Linked DNA regions of Rattus norvegicus. The protein of the gene in region 2 purifies or fractionates together with the protein of the main gene of each other region. This does not show direct contact. Links are inferred from orthologs where the notes say so. Each region holds a gene or a part of one and is shown on either strand. Other genes may lie near its edges.

The links.
Region 1: the proteins of Usp46 (region 2) and Phlpp1 purify together in Homo sapiens (affinity purification with mass spectrometry; 7 studies listed by BioGRID and IntAct, counting the BioPlex papers as one, with this or other methods). This does not show direct contact. The link is inferred for Rattus norvegicus from reciprocal best matches to the Homo sapiens genes USP46 and PHLPP1.
Region 3: the proteins of Usp46 (region 2) and Phlpp2 purify together in Homo sapiens (affinity purification with mass spectrometry; 4 studies listed by BioGRID and IntAct, counting the BioPlex papers as one, with this or other methods). This does not show direct contact. The link is inferred for Rattus norvegicus from reciprocal best matches to the Homo sapiens genes USP46 and PHLPP2.
Region 4: the proteins of Usp46 (region 2) and Dmwd purify together in Homo sapiens (affinity purification with mass spectrometry; 5 studies listed by BioGRID and IntAct, counting the BioPlex papers as one, with this or other methods). This does not show direct contact. The link is inferred for Rattus norvegicus from reciprocal best matches to the Homo sapiens genes USP46 and DMWD.

Annotation. Positions count from the first base shown.
Region 1 is NC_086031.1:22,821,863-22,825,931, forward strand, and holds the start of Phlpp1 (PH domain leucine-rich repeat protein phosphatase 1), read left to right. Parts: upstream 1-1,269; 5' UTR 1,270-1,518; coding exon 1,519-2,983; intron 2,984-4,069. UniProt on the Homo sapiens protein: Protein phosphatase involved in regulation of Akt and PKC signaling.
Region 2 is NC_086032.1:34,502,853-34,506,949, reverse strand, and holds the start of Usp46 (ubiquitin carboxyl-terminal hydrolase 46), read right to left. Parts: upstream 2,801-4,097; 5' UTR 2,725-2,800; coding exon 2,689-2,724; intron 360-2,688; exon of another isoform or gene 195-359; coding exon of another isoform or gene 180-194; intron 1-179. UniProt on the Homo sapiens protein: Deubiquitinating enzyme that plays a role in behavior, possibly by regulating GABA action. May act by mediating the deubiquitination of GAD1/GAD67.
Region 3 is NC_086037.1:54,743,266-54,747,380, reverse strand, and holds the start of Phlpp2 (PH domain leucine-rich repeat-containing protein phosphatase 2), read right to left. Parts: upstream 2,801-4,115; 5' UTR 2,730-2,800; coding exon 2,631-2,729; intron 1-2,630. UniProt on the Homo sapiens protein: Protein phosphatase involved in regulation of Akt and PKC signaling.
Region 4 is NC_086019.1:87,849,253-87,853,340, reverse strand, and holds the start of Dmwd (dystrophia myotonica WD repeat-containing protein), read right to left. Parts: upstream 2,801-4,088; 5' UTR 2,721-2,800; coding exon 2,289-2,720; intron 845-2,288; coding exon 662-844; intron 1-661. UniProt on the Homo sapiens protein: Regulator of the deubiquitinating USP12/DMWD/WDR48 complex. Functions as a cofactor that promotes USP12 enzymatic activity.

The DNA.
Region 1 (4,069 bases), on a different chromosome or scaffold from region 2:
CATCCCTCTTCAACAAAAATGTGTAGCTAACCTAAAACCAAGCTGCCTTGATAGGAATTTCAGTTCTCTCTCTCCTACCAAAGTTTTCTAAAATTAAGGCAGGCTCTGGATAGTATGTAACCCAAAGCCTCGAAAGTGAGTATCTACCTATGTAAAGCTACTATGAGGGTGGCAACTCAATGCACGACGTTTATCAAATATTTCAAATAGTTAATTGCCTCAAACCAGCTTGTTTCAACCAATAAAAAGTAAGTTTATAGATCATACATTGCAACAGTAAGAACTCACACAACATAGTTAAAGCCTAGGTGGTGAGCAGTTTGAGGAAGTATGGAGATCAGACTATACCGAGAAACCTTGTCTCATTCACCCTCTACCCAGCCCCGAGTGTGGAAAGAAAAATCCTGAAAGGACTAAGAGAAAGCAAGTCCCACAATGTCTCCATTCTAATATTTCTCCCTTCGTCTACTGTTTTCTGTTATGTAAGCTTTTACCAACAGGATACAAGGCCCCAAGTCCTTAGCTATTTCTGTCCTAATATGGGAGGGAGTAGATGGGCTTAATTTGAGTGCTTTACAGGAAGCACGTTCAACTATCTTCTAAAGAAGAATTTCCAAACACTGCTAGTTTTCATGGACCATGAAAAAAGTGCGGAAAAAGGAAGACCGGGCCAGCGATCCTGTGAACTGTGTATTTTTGTCTCATTCAAAGGCCTTACCTAGAGTTTAGAGTCCCTGAAAGCTCTCAATCTCAATTAGCCAGGAAAATAAAACTCATCTGGCAAACGGTAGAGAAGCGAGTTAATGAAAAACGTTCACAGGACACAGAGTTCAACAGCAGAGGGCACAATACCCACTAGCTAGGGCCAGAAGCTGGAAGAGAGGGAGGGCAGAATCTGACGATATCTGGGTCTTGTAGTTCGCTATTGGTCTCCATTGGAGGCTCGCCCAGGAGATGAACTACAACCCCCACTGTGCAACGCGAGCCCCTCTCGCCAGCTCTCGTCTATGGCGAGGACAAACCTCCTGGGAAACAGTTCTGCCCCACCCCCATACGCACGCGTCACGTTTGTTTACCCTGAGGCCCCGCCCCCAGCCTCCCGCTCTCCCCAGAAATGTCGTCATGCTAACGATGCATATTCATGAGCAACTCCGCCCCGCCACCGCCCGCCTTCCCGCGCTTCATTAATATTCATGAGTGAGGTCGGGCCGCAGCTCCGGGGAGCTCAGGCTGACGGGCAGCGGGCGGGGCCTGGCGCTGGGGAGCCCCGGACCAGCGGGGAGGGTGTGTGTGGGGGGGGCGGTGGCGGCGAAACGGGCGGGCGGCGCGCGGGATGGAACACCGAGACACCGACGGAATGCTCCGGATCGCCACATAATCCTCTGGAACAGCCGCGCCGAACGCCATCGGCGTCTCCGTTCTCCGCGCGCCGCTGCCGCCGCCGTCTCCCACCTTCGCCTCACCTCCTCCTCCTCCGCTGCCTCCGGAGCTGGGGGGGCGACGTGAAACCCCGCTACGATGGAGCCCGCCGCCGCAGCCCCGGCACAGCGACTCGCGGACCCCACGGGTGAGGACCGAGCCCCGGCGGCGGCGGCGGCGGCCGAGGGCGGACGGAGTCCGGATTCTGTGCTGAGCGCGGCGGCCCCGAGCGGCGGGAACGGCGGCGCGGCGCGAGAGGAGGCCCCCTGCGAGGCGCCGCCGGGGCCGCTGCCCGGCCGCGCGGGAGGCACCGGACGCAGGCGTCGGCGCGGGGTGCCCCAGCCCGCGGCCGGCGGGGCCGCCCCGGTGACCGCGGCCGGCGGCGGCGCCAACTCGCTGCTGCTGAGGAGAGGGCGGCTGAAGAGGAATCTGTCGGCCGCCGCTTCGTCGTCCTCATCGCCGTCCTCGGCGTCTTCGGCCGCTGGCGGCCTCCCGGCGTCCTGCTCGGCCTCGGCGTCGCTGTGCACCCGGAGTCTGGACAGGAAGACGCTGCTCCAGAAGCACCGGCAGCTGCTTCAGCTGCAGCCGTCGGACCGGGACTGGGTGAGGCACCAGCTCCAGCGGGGCTGTGTGCACGTCTTTGACCGCCACATGGCCTCGTCCTACCTGCGCCCAGTGCTCTGCACGCTGGACACCACAGCCGCCGAGGTGGCCGCCCGGCTTCTGCAGCTGGGCCACAAAGGCGGCGGGGTGGTGAAGGTGCTGGGCCACGGGCCACCTCCGGCCGCTGCCCCGGCCGCCAGCGATCAGACCCCGGCCACAGAGCTCGGAAGAGACGTGGAGCCACCGCCCTCGAGCAGCACGGTCGGTGCTGTCCGGGGCCCTGCGCGCGCGCCTCCTGCCGATCTGCCGCTGCCCGGGGGCGCCTGGACGCGCTGTGCACCTCGGGTCAACCCTGCGCCCTCGGACTCCAGCCCCGGAGAGCTGTTCGCGGGCGGCCCCTGTTCCCCGTCCCGCGCCCCGCGCCCGGCCTCCGACACCGAGAGCTTCAGCCTGAGCCCCAGCGCCGAGAGCGTGTCAGACCGGCTGGACCCCTATAGCAGCGGCGGCGGCTCCTCCTCTTCGTCCGAGGAACTAGAAGCTGACCCGGCCACGGTCTTGACGGGGCCTTCCGGGCCGCCCCACCACCCAGTCCGCTCCTCACAGCCTCGACCGCCTTCCCCGAAGACCTCGGCGTTACTGCAGCCGAAAGCCCCGACGGGCGTAGACGGCACTGGCCTAGTGGTGGGCGAAGGTCCCGGAGACGACAAGGCGGTGGCAGCTGCAGCTCCAGGCGTTCCTCTGTGGACTCCAGGGAGGATCCGGGAGACCGTGCAAAAGACGTCTTCTCCGCCCTCCCTGTATGTACAGCTCCATGGGGAGACTACCCGGCGCCTGGAGGCGGACGAGAAGCCATTGCAGATCCAAAATGACTACCTCTTCCAACTGGGATTTGGGGAGCTGTGGAGGGTGCAGGAGGAAGGCATGGATTCGGAGATTGGCTGCCTCATCCGATTCTATGCAGGTAAGGAAGTTGCATGCATGTTTCTGTATAGCGGCTTCGAACCCTGGCCCGGACCGATAAATGATTCGAGGGGCCTGGTGAGTCTGGCAGTCTTTTCTAGCTGGTTCACATGCTGTTTGTGCAAGTACTAAATTCAGTATTCTTTAAATCTGCACTTTTTAGTGTCCAGGTCTGAGGTTGGAAAGCCGGGTGGACGAGGTGGCAAAGTCACCTGGAAATACAGGAAACACCTAAGAGGGGTACGGGTCCTTAACTGTAAAGGTGGTTTCCTCCAGGCCTCTGCTCTCGTTGGGTTGCAGGCGGTTTGGGATTCCAGGTAACACATTAATATAGACAGAGGACAATGACCAACGGAAAGTGTTCCATGATGCCTTCCCTATTCAGCTGTCCACAGTTTACCATTCATAGACAAGGCAGTGTGTGTGGGCCTCTGGGGCTGTGCTCTTGTCAACTGATGCTCCTGTTCCACCGTCTGCCACGCTTCTTTGCTCACTGAGTTCTTGTAGACACCCGAGAAGTGTGTGTGTATGTTTGTTGTTTTGAGTGTTGCTCACCTTCGGCGTTTTTAATTACTTTATTTCACTTTCCAAGTTTGAATCTTGCATAAAAGATGAGTTGGCCTGCTTCTGTCTTGCAGCCTTTATTGTCAGAACTGCGACAGGACTTGAAACAGACTAGACTTAGTAATGTCGGTGATTACTGCCTCTGATGTGACCTGAACTCTAGCAGTATTTTAGTATCTGTTCAAGTGCTTGTCCAGGGGTGACCAGTCAGTTTCTCCCTTGCCTGGAGTCTTGGCTGGAACTAAGTCGTGGAGTTACATGGCTACTGGGTATTGTTTTTGAGCTTTGTAAGCTACTCGAACTCTGGTTGAAAGGGATTTTAGTGGTCAGAACTTCTGTTTGAAATAAGGTTAGCTTAGGAGAATTAAGACTTTCAGTTTTATATTGTAGGTGCATATACTAACAACCCATGATGCCCACAGAGCTTCTTCCACAGCTAGAGGTTTTTAGTCCAGCATGTGTCCTAGTTGCAGTTTAATTTGAATGAATTGGTCTTTAACACCCACATTGATATATGCAAGAC
Region 2 (4,097 bases):
CCGGGTTGTGAGCCACCCAGTGTCAAGTAAATAAATATAAGCAAACGACAAGCAAACAAGCGGTCCCAGCCTGTACTCCCCGCTCCTCATACCAGCTGGGGCAAAGGGAGAAAGTTGTAAAGCTCAAGAAAGAGGCTCAGCGAGAAACCCAGTGACAGAGAGACTCGGAAGACACCTACCTGGAAACAGTTCATGCTCAAGTAAGGCTTTATCCCGCTGTGCACAGACAGACAGCAGTCTCCTGAGCACCAGCCTGCTCCTCTGGGAAATGCCAATGGGAGGGGCAGAAGTGACCTGAGCGGCTTTTATAAGGGGCGGGATTTCCAGTTCCCACCCCAGCTCCTCCACAGAGTCATTCAGCTTGCTCTGCCTAAGTGACCCAATGGGTTGTTTATACTCAAGTAGGAGAAGAAGACAAATTCTCACAGCCCCTAAAACAGACTGGAAGGTAAGAGAAAGAAGGTACTGACCACAGCCGCTGCCACTCACTGAGAAGTTATCACGTACCGGGCCCAGAACCCCAGGAACTCCCCCCTGGGTTGCAGCCATTATGGGCCCATTTTTACAAATGAAAGCTGAGGCAAAGACTATCAAAGTGCTCAAGGGCACGAGGCAGCGGTGTTGGAGGTGGGACTTGAAAGCTGGATGGAGCAGAACACCTCTGTCTGTCATCTAGTGCTTACAGGCGATGTCATGCTGGAGGTCTACCTGGGCTAAGGAGCCCCACAAATAAGTACAAAAACAGGAGCGAACCTAGAGTCTCACATTAGAATGCAAACATTTCTCCATTTGCCCAAGACAGTGTCTACACAGAAACATATTAGGTTTACTTCACAATTGGACATGGGGTGGGTGGGTGGGGTGGGTGAGAATTAACTTGGTCACCAGAAGTGTTTATTCTACTGACACAATATTGGCCCATTCCTCTCCTGTCCTCCCAGAAGCCTGTCTCCCTGGCTGAGTGTCACTGAAAACAGGTTGTGACATTCTGTCCAGGTGTGCCAAGAAGTCCTAGCCACAGTAAGGACAAGAACAAGCCGGAGGCAGACTTCCTCTTGGGACAGGCTTGCTCTCCGGTTTCCACTCGGCTTCAATACTGAGAGGTGTCATTGAAAGCAAACCGGACAAGAGCAGAACCAGGAGCAGGCACTGAGCCCCCGGGAGGCTGTAGGCCTGCGGCCACCCCCACAGGCAGGAGATACAGCATTGAAACTACTGTGGTATCCTAGTTCTCCACATGAGCTTGGTTACGGCGGAGACACGGAGAAGAAATGCACTGTCTTCTCAGGGCATCCAGCCACGTTAATGTCACCGGACAGGAAGAAGCAGGAAACCTGTGTCTTCAAGCAGAAAGGGGAGATGGCAAGGTGACAGGCCCCGTCATCTAAGGAGACCTGTACCAAGCCGGCAGTTACCATCACTCTTGGCGACCAGCGCAGAAAGCTGGAGCCAGCCCCAGCAGGTCTCAACTCCACCTGAGCTAACACATGGCTCCTTCATGCTCTGTGCCATGTGTTGATCTTGCAACAGAATGTGGGACAGAAGATTTAAAGAGCTGTGTGATGGGGGAAGGGCAGCCAGATCACCTTACCTAAGGCCTACTTAATCAGACCTCCTCAGATTCCCTTTGTATGCTAGGATGACTATCTAACTTGGTGGCAGGGTGTTCTCCAAAATGGCAAAAACAAACAAACAAAACCCAACAGCCAGCAGTGTTCCAGTTTGGAGGGGCTCGAAGCGGGAGGGAGAGGAGGATCCAGAGAGTACAGGCAGAGCACACACCCTCAAGCCCCACACCAAAGGTAATGCTGACCCCAAACTGACCTCCCTGAGGCTCTCACAAGTGGGGGTGCCAGCTGAGTACGCTCAGGGGACCCAAAGGTTGGAACTGGTCCCTAGGAAACTAAACAGAACGGGAAGGTAGTTGGGGGGGGGGGGGACTCCAAATTAAAGTGACCGCTGGGTAACACTCCCCGCCCCCCCACCCGCCCCCCTCAGACAGGCGAGGCAGTGCCCAAGCTAAATGGAGAGGAGGCGGGGCAGGATGACCCCTGCAGACTTCCTCACACCCACAGTCACCTCACTCCTAGGGCCTGCAAACGTTAACTGCCGCCTTACAATCTCCTGCATGCAGGTGGGGAAACTGAGGCCTCCAGAACAAATTGCTGTGCTTTCCAGGTTTTAGTTCGCTTCTCTAGCCAGATTCTTCACTTGGATTTTTTTATGTCTATCCGATTTCTCCTGGTAAGAACACTGCTATTGCAAAGTGAATCTTAAATACAATCGAGGCTGAACTCCAAAAAGGAGCAGAGGACAGTCCGTGAGTCCAGGAAGGGTTTATTTACTGCACCAGGAGGATCTACTTCCTCCCACTCCAGGCTTGCACCCTCATGGTCCTCCCTCGGGACAGCGGTGTGCGGCACCTCGCACCCTCCACCCCCACCCACCGCCCGCACCACAACTCGAGGGCGGGGGCATGGGGCTGCCCTGGGGATCCCTGGGATCCCTTCAGGGTCCCCGGCTGGGACAGAGGCGGGGGACTGCGGTCAGCTGGCCCAGCCTCAGAGCCGGGAACTTCTGACCGCGCGGCCCCCACGACCGCGGCGCGCGAGCAGCTCCAGCCCGGGGTTCCCTTTCTTTGCCTGGCTCGCTGCGGGCGCGACCCCCGGAGGCTCGGCGGCCACTCACCATATTACAGATGGAGGCGATGTTTCGGACAGTCATTAGTCTAAAGGTTGCAGCGATCGCGCACCGCCATCTTTACCAGGGGAAAACGGGACTGTCCATGGTGGCGCGCAGCGAGGCCGGGTGGCGGCGAGGCGGCCTGGGGCCGGCTTGCAGTGGGGTTGGGCGAGCGAGGCCGGGCGGCGGCGAGGGCGGGGCGGCGGCGCGGGGCGGGGAGTGGCGGAGCGACGCAGCCGGGGCCGCGGCCGGCGGGAGGAGGAGCCCAGAGCCGGGAGGCGCCGAACCGGGCCGCTCCTACGTTCCCGTGTCCGCCAGGACTCGGTCGCCCAACCCGGCTGAAAGCTGTTCTTGCTCCCCTGCCCTGGGGTACCGCTCCGTGCCAGCTGCATCGCTAGGTCAGTCCCCAACGAACCCAGCACCGCGGCCTTCACACTGGACCCAGGACACTGGACCCTGGCCGATCGTAGGCTGGGGACCTACACCAGGGGGACACAGGCATGCTCGTTTCCCGATTTCCCTCTGCCTGTTCCTGGTGGTCTCCAACCAGTCAGGGCTTTTAGAGATTAGCTAGGGGAGCTGATGAGTACGGGTGTAAGGGAGTAAGGGTAACCCTAGTCCAACTTTAAAGTTTCTCTCCAGGGTTCTAGCCAGATGGCATCCACCGGAACCCAAAAAGTAAAATGAGACCAGGACATGGGCGTGGCCAGAGAGCCCTGACCAGCAGTAACCCAGCTGCTTGGGAAAGGGTTCCCAGAAAGGAAAGTATTCCGGGTCTAGGAAAGCCCCACTCGGGAGATTTGTGACATTAGAAGGTACAGAGGAAATGGCCAGGTTCTGGGCGGTGCTAGAGGCTGTCCAGGAAATACCAAAACAAAACTTTTGTATCCTCCATCCAGGGAGCTCCTGATCTCAGTTTTGTGAGATTGGGTGCTGTTTGAGTTTTCACACATTCCCACAGAGGCCAAAACTGCAGGCTCAGGGTGCACATTGTACACCGCTTGAAGGATACATTCATGAGAATTGAAAAGGTCCATTTCAAACATGGGGAATAACTGTGCGTCTGCCGTCCCATGGTTTTTGCAGGGAAGCTGTGCATGTGAAACGTGATAAATTCCTGAACCAATGTATTTTGTGGGAAATTAAATTAGGAGAGAAATTAATATAATTGAAGACATCTTTATGTAGCCAAGAGTAACATACTGGTGGTGGGGAGGAGGGCGCAGAGTTTTATACATAACATGTGAGAGCCATCCATTGGTAATTCTTCTAGGACCTGGGGTGGAAATAGAAGACGAACACTACTGACTGAAGGGGGGAGTCACGTGGATACTGTATTTTTCAGTGTGTAGAAGGATTAATATGTCTGCTCACGATGAGTCATTCTACCAAAATTTTATTTTCATTTTTTTTAC
Region 3 (4,115 bases), on a different chromosome or scaffold from region 2:
ATGCAACACACACACAACATGCACATAAAAGCAATTTCAAAACATTTATTTTGATAAAAATATAAAACTATTCTTAAAGAAAAAACAAATAATATTCACAGTGTAGATTCCCTATAACTTCCTGTCATCCATCTCCTGATTGATTAAACTAAACCATAACCTCAAAATCATAGGAAACATCTGAAAACCTTTTGAGCTTGAGTCAGTAACTTGAGAAAGTTCTAGAACTCTGACATACACTCTATGTTGCTCAGGCTAGCCTTCGCCCCTGAGGCTTAAGTATGATCTCATGTCAGCCTTCGTAATAGCTGAGGCCACAGGTATGAGTCCAGAGCCTTGGTTTAGGAGTGTATTTAGAATAAGGTGTTCCAGTGTCCTATGGTCCTTGATGAAGTCTGGATAAATTATGTTGGCTCAGTTATGTCAGGCTTTTTATGAAGACCTTCTTATGAAAAGTTGAGAATAATGTTCATGATTTGGGTGTAAGTATAAAGGAATAAAAAGTCTGTTTCTTTGTTTTGTTTTACAAGACAGGGTTTCCCTCTGTATCCCTGGCTATCCTGGAACTCTGTAGACTAGGCTGTCCTGGAACTCAGGGATCTGCCTGCCTCTGCTTCCCAAGTCCTAAGACTAAAGACATGCACCACCTTTTATAACTTTTTTTGATGCTTAGGCTGAGGAATAAAACCAGAGAATTTGGACACTGGAAGCTGACCGCCGAGCTACACTCCTAACCCAGAGCCATACCCCTAGGCTAGAGAAGTCTTTACAAACATCCCCAGAGAAACACATGTAGGCAAACATGACATTCTTCAAGGTTCAGAGCATCTTCTGCTCACCTCTGTACTCTTTATAGGCTACCCCTGAGAGAGGGAACCACTCAGTAACTCCAGAGAACCTCCTGCTAGTAGAACACAGAGACCTGTTTCCATGACCATTCTGCTTATTCACGAGGACCTGTCAACCACTGCAGGAAACAGAAAGGCCTTCCAGAAAGGCTTTCATGGCAAGAGCTCAGAACTGACCAAGAATCAAGACTGACCAACCACTGGAGACTTTCGAATAATCCCAACACGGGAACTTAGGGAGCTAGGGAAAGGCAGTCTTCAATAAAGATTTTCATTCATACAATTTGCCACTCCAACATGACCCAAAAACGTTAAAATAAAAGGTTTTTGAAAATTTGCTCATCTCTTGCATACCAAAAGACATTTGATATCAAAACTACTTCCTCATAAGTGAGGCCTACAGAACTTTTGTTTTTATTGAATCCACTCACAATTTACAGTTTGCTATTGGCTCTGAATGATTACACTTCGATTTATGCTAGAGTAAATTCCAATGTGGGTAACAGTTATGAAGTAATCTAAAATTAACTATGCACTAAAACTGGGAGGTGCTAGAAAATAATATTTAAGTCTTGGTTTCATGAATTCACTGAGTGCAACAAATCCACTTTCCTGCCGTTCCCCATTTTTGTGCTACTCTACTAATAATCTTAATAAAAGGAAATATCACTCAACCACAATCTCATTTAATCACTAATCACTTAATGTTTGCTTTTAACATTAAGCATCTTCGATGTCTGGCATACTGTTTTTGAAACACAATGAATCTCAATTTTCTCTCTCTTCCTCTTTGGCAAGTTTAGATCCTGCTCCTCTAGTGCTCCAGAGGAATTCCATTCCACTATTCCACTTCGTTTATATACTGAACCTACGGACAAATGTCTCTGCACTATTTCAGAGGTTAGTAGAGAACTCCACCCAGTTAGCCACCCTTTAACCATCTCTGGTGACCTCGCCTCACCTTCTGCATTCTTCCTGCATAGAAACTTCTTGTCATCACTCACCTTCAAGGCTTCACTCCCCTTCCCCCTGCATCTGTTTTCCTATCCTCCTATTCCCCCATTCTACCAAAAAGCCCCGCTTAAGCTGCCTGTTGCATAACGGCTCCCCCACTGCCTTCTCCCCGGATTGTCAGCCAAGCAGGAGTGCCCCTTCGGGCTCTGCTCCTCCCCGCCCCCCAACCCCTGCAACACGCCCAGCGGGTTCTCAGGCAGCAGATCCTCGGGGGCTGTCCCCAAGCGGGAAGCTCCGGGTGTCGCGTCTTGGAGCTGAGAGCCGGTTCGGAACTCGGTAGCCAGTCCCGAGGGCAGCGTGGCCGCTCTCGCCGGCGCAGCCCGCGCACACCGCAGCGCCTGGCCAATCGCCGCCGCCATCCTCCGGCTGGGGTGATGTCTTCAGGTGTCCGCCGAACCCTGCGTACTCGCCGCCTGACTCCCGCCAGGCGCGGCCCGCCCTTGGAGCCCCTCGGAACCGGTCCCAGGGCCCCGGGCTAGGCCCAGCGAAACGACGGCGGTCCGGGGGATGTGGGGAGGAAGGAGGGTGGGGGCAGCGGCTGCCTGAAGGCGTGGGCCTGCCGGGCGGCGGTCAGGGATGGACAGCGCCGCGGACCCAGGCGGCCGAGGCCCGGGCGGGGGCGCGGCACGGAGGCCCACAGCAGGCCCGTGGCGGCTCGGCCAAGTGCAAGCGGCCCAGGGACGCAGGGCGGGGGTCGCCCGCTGCCTCGGGCAGCTAGGCGAAGGCGGCCACGGCCCTCTTGCTTCCTCCCTCTCCCTGCCGACTCACCTTTAGGACCCGAATACCTCCGGGCCGGCGAGGCGCCGCCGCTTCAGGTGGCTCCGGGGGCTCCAGCGAGCCCGCGGGCACGGGCTCCACCTCCCCCATTGGCGGCCAAGGCTTTACAGAGACGCTCGGCCGGCGCGACAGCGAGAGCCTCGGAGGCGCGCGCGAGCAGCGGGAGGCCTCGCCCCTCCGCCTAGACCCCGCCCCTAACTAAGACGCTCTGCCTCCTTCAGCCCCGCCCCTGGCCCCTCTGGACCTGCGTAGTCGTGGGCCTGGCTAGAGGCCGGAGCAGAATTGTGGGAGGCTGGCGCCACTGCAGGTTGAGCCTCCGTTGCCCTGAGCTCAGAGGACTAGAGCAATTTGGTTCTTTTTGAGTCCTCCAAGGAGCGGCCAGAGGAAGAGACAGGTAAGGCCTGCACCTGTAAGATAGACAAGATACAACCCTTCACCACGGGCGGCGCTGGAATTCTCCATCCAAGACGTTTCCTGCTCCCAAAGGTGCTCCCCCCACCTCCCCGGCACCCACTGGCGGTGAAAGAACTGTTGTTTATACTCACCTCTTAGGATAGCTGGCGACCTTCTTCATCAAACAATAAGCTGTCCAGCCACACTTCGGTGTCCTTTTCCTGTAATCAAAGTACCAGATTTCCTTTCTCGTTCTTAAACAGTAACGTGGTGTGTAAGCCCCTCTTTCTAGTTTGCAAGGCTTAATTCAGCAAAGAATGTTTTAAAAGTTCCTGGAGTGATAGTAGTTTTGTGGTTAGTGGGCCAAATTATGAGTTTGCCTAATTCCAAATCTCAGTTGTACTCATTCTTAGATCTATACTTGTACAAATTACTTGATCTCTGATTTTTTTTTTCTTTTGAGACAGAAAATTACATGTAACCCAGGCACACCCAAACTCACTATATACCCAACACTGGCCTTGAACTTTTAGATTCTCCTGTCTCCCCGTTCAAAGTGCAGACGTGCACCACTCTGCCCAGCTCTAGTGGCTCTTCCGTTATCTTAACGGAACACGTGTATGCCTGTGACAGAGGCCTGAAGAGGGTGTCAGATCCTCTGGACCAGGAGTTACAGATGGTTATAAGTTGCCAGGTGAGCGCTGGGAGTTGAACCTGGGTCCTCTGGAAGAGCAACCAGTGCTCTGAACCACTGAGCCATCTCTCCAGAGCCTTGCCTTGGTTTCTTTTTTTTTTTTTTTTTTTTTTCTTTTTGGTTCTTTTTTTTTTTTTTTTTTTCGGAGCTGGGGACCGAACCCAGGGCCTTGCGCTTCCTAGGCAAGCGCTCTACCACTGAGCTAAATCCCCAACCCCCTTGCCTTGGTTTCTAAGGGGTGAATGAACTAGAGTAACATCTGCCTGGCAATTATCAAGGTGCCGTGGGCAAAACACACAGAACCTAACTCATATTAAAGACTCATAGTAGCCACCGTAATTCTGAAATGCTAGATTTCCCAAAAGGTGATTATGAGCATTAAACTGCTC
Region 4 (4,088 bases), on a different chromosome or scaffold from region 2:
TGGATAGAGACTTGCACAGGAGGGACCACTGTGCTGTGAACGGGCATGTGAGTCTCTAATGCACCCATTGCTCTGCTGCTTCACGCCCTTCAGCCACTTGCTTATTCTGAGAACATTTGTGGCTCACCTCCCCTGGACCAGAGTCAGTATGACAGAGCACAAGGCCCTCCCTGCTGCTTCTAAGGTCTCCGGGCTCCTTTGAAGCCAGGCTAGCCCAACCAAGCAGTCCTTGTGAATAAGAGGACACAAATCCTAAGAAAACTAAGGCTCAGACAACACACTTTTCCAAAACCACACAGTAAGTCAGTAATATAGGAGGAACTAGAATCCAAAGCCCAAAGAGCCCAGAATTTGAAACTAGAGAGAATATCAAAACATCCCAAGTGACTATGAGCCTCAGTCTTCTAATCTGTGAGATGGGCACCATATTTTCTTATGCATCAGAAGATAAGAACCCAAGCAGTAAAGCATTCTTTCAGCATAGGGCTGGCTCAGCAGAAAACTGATAGATTGTACACACAATGGTGACATCAATGGCTGTCATGGCTGTCAGTCATTCGTTCCTCTCCCCTTCATCCTGCCCCTCTCAAGCCTACTCTATTTCCAGGCAGTTTAGTGCAGGATAGATAATGAGAAAGGAACAGTTCAAGTCCTCAATCACCTCTTCATTGAATAGCTTGCTGGTGTCTTTCTTGATGAGGTCCAGATACTGCACCTGGCCGGCAGAGAAGCCCACCAGCAGGGAAATGGTCTCTGTGGCAGCTGTGAACTGGTTGAAGTCGTGGCAGGTGGGCTGGGTCCCCTTGTAGATCCTCTTGTCGATGGGCTTGTTGAGATCAATGGACTTGAACCATGGGAGAAGACGAGTTAATGGGTTAGAGCGGGGAGAGGAAGGAAGAGGGAGCTGAGGTCAGGGAAAACCACCAAGAGGAAGCAGGGTTAACCTCGAGGGAAGTGGGGAGGTGGGTGGGGAGGAACAGGCAACCACAGGCTGGGAGGGGATTCCTCTCAACCCAGAAGGACAGCACACACATGCTCACATGCACACAATCACACACTACCCAGGAAAGACCACAGAGCCTTTCCATTGTAATTTAGGGACACTTGCCCACAGTGTCAGGGATCAGAGTCCCCTGGCCTGGAGCTGACTCCACCATCCTTCCCTGCCACCATCACAGTAGCAGCTCCAGGAGGACAATATTCTAAGACCTCCAAGATCCAAGGACTCAAAAATTCCAACACCTTAGGATTTCTTTCATTATTTTCTACATGTACATGTAGTATATACACCTGTGTGGTCGTTGTGCGTTATGTATGTGGATGTAGAGGTCAGAGGCCAACATTGAGCATCTTTCTCTGTGGCTTTGCATCTTACATTTGACACAGGGTCTCTCACTCAACCTGGAGCTCACCAATTCAGCTAGACTAGCTGCCAGTAAAACCAGGGTCCTTCTGCCTCTGTGCTCTCCAAATTTGGGTTACAGACTCACACAGCAGCAGCCTTTTACATGGGGTACAGGGATCCAAACTCAGGTCCTCATGCTTTCAAAACTCACATTTTGTTCAATCTGGAGTCCCTAAACTCCAGGACTTCTGTCATAGTTCAGACAGCCATCAGTCATTACAACCCCTCATATTTGGGGTACACAATCACCACTGCATTCTCAAAATCCCCATCTCTGTCTCCTCTACTCCCTCACTTTGCCCCCCCCCCTTCTAGGATTGCTTTACAGATGTCTGTCACACCTGGGGATGTCCCCGGCCAGGAACCCCATCAATTCAAAACTCCCATCAGTTCTTCCAAAGCCATTAGACATCATATTCTTTGGAGCACATTCACCTGTTACTTTGCTACACACCAAGTCCTCCCTGCCTTTTGTCCGTAAGACTTCCATCACTTACAAATCCTGTCACTCCTGGGTATGACAAGTCTTAAGTCTCCCCCCAACAGGCCCAGAATGCAGTATGTACTTCTCTGTTCTCCATCCCCCCAACCCCCACCCCGGCCTGCATCCTCCTAGGATTCCCCATTGCCTGCAGAATGCCTGTCACCTCAGAATCCGTGGCCCCCTCCCCCATTTCCTCCCAGAAGCCCCATCACATCCTGAACACTAACTTACCACCCCCAAGAACCCCCACGCAAAGATTGCCCTGCAACCTCTTAGGACTGACTCCATTAGCTCCAGAATCCAGGTTCCCCTGGGATGCCCAACCTCGGGTCCTTCTGTCATTCTGGGACCCCGATGCTATCGGCACCCAAGTCCCCACAAAGCGGAGCACTCACTCACCCGTTGGCTCCCGCGGCGGCAGCAGCCGGGATAAAAGTAAAGCTCACGGCCCAGGTTGAAGCAGACGCGGTCTCCTCCCGCGCCCAATCCCGAGGGCGTGGAGGGCGGCTCCCCAGTGCCATCGGGGTCGCCTAGGCGCACCAGGCTGAGGCGGACAGCGGGCAGCGCGGGCCCGGGCCCAGGGCCAGCGGGCGGCGGGGACGATGCGGGACCTGCGGCGCCAGGCCCGGAGGCTGAGGCGGGCCCTGGCGGGGGCTGAGTGGGCTGAGGCGGCGCCGGGGTCTGAGCGGAGGTCGGGCCGGACCTGCGCGTCGCATCGCCGGGAAGCAGCTTGTAGAAGCCCTCGCGGGTGCGAAACTGCGACTTGATCTCCGCGCAGTCACCCATGGCGGCGCTGGGGCCCGGGCCGCCCTCCGCGCCGCCCGCCGCCATCTTGGCCGCCCCCCGGGCTGCGCCGCAGCCAGACCGCCCACCGCCCGACCCCCCAGCCGGAAGTTGCAGGGCTGGCACCGGAAGGGGTAGGGTCGTCGTCCGGGTGACGCCTCTACGATTGGCACCCAGACGCGGAGGCGGGAGGAGCCGGGACAGTTGCTGAGGTAACGGTTCTGGAACTGTGGGGGGGGGGGCAAGATGTAGGCGTGGTCGACGCGACAGATGCTCGCGTGTGGTTGGCTACGAGGCGTGACTGTTGGGAACGCCCCTAGACCCTAACAACATCGCCCTGGGAACCGTTTGCCCAGCAACGGAGAAACCTCAAAGCCTATTCAGAATCCTCGTGTTGTTACTGCTGACTCCAGGCGATTCTTGTCTGTTTTTTTTTTTTTTTTTAATTAAAAAATATTGCATTTATTTTTGCGTGTATTTGTGCGTGGATGAGCATATAGAGGTCAGAAAGAGCCAAGTGCCCTTCCACTATGTGGATTCTAAGGATGGAATGCAGGTCCTCATGCTTGGCAGCAAGCATTTTACTGACCTTTGTTTGGTCTCACACTTGTAGCCCAGGCTGTCTTCAAACTTGACCCAACCTCTGGGGTCTGTCTCCAGGAGTGCTTGGATTTCAGGCCTGAGACACCACCCTCAGCTTCTCGTTTCATTTTAGATGCTCAACAGTATTTTGCCCTTCAATATTTGACTGGCAGACTAAAGTCTCCTCCCTTCTCACTGACACCTGTGGTCCTCTGCTGCTGTCAGAGTGAAGTGTAGCCATCTGTGACCTTTCTGACTTTGCCTTCCAGTTTTGTTTTGGTGATGATGGTTGTTACCTTGTCAATTTTGCTACCTTATCTACCTAGAATTACAGTGAGGAACAGTCTACATTGGGTTGGCCTGTAGATGTGGATGTGGGAGAATGCATTAACTGATACAGGAAGACCCAGTCCATTGTGGGAGGCGCCATTCCCTAGTCTGGGGGTCCGGAACTGTGTAAGAGTGGAGAGGCAGGGGGCTGGGGATTTAGCTCAGCGGTAGAGCACTTGCCTAGCAAGCACAAGGCCCTGGGTTCGGTCCCCAGCTCCGAAAAAAAGAAAAGAAAAGAAAAAAAAAAGAGTGGAGAGGCAGGCTGCACAAGGAAGCAAACACACATGGATTCCTTCTTTCTGGTCTACTCTGGCGACCTCCTTGCCTTGATTTCCCTACCCTGATGGACAGTGACCAGGAATTGCAAACTGAAATAGCTCTTTCTCCCCTAAGCTGCCCTTTGTCGAAGTATTTTATGTTTTATCCCAGCAACAGAAGAAAATTTTGTTTTGTTTTGCCCCCTCCCCACCACCCTTTTGTGAGACAAGGTCTCTAGTTCTGGCT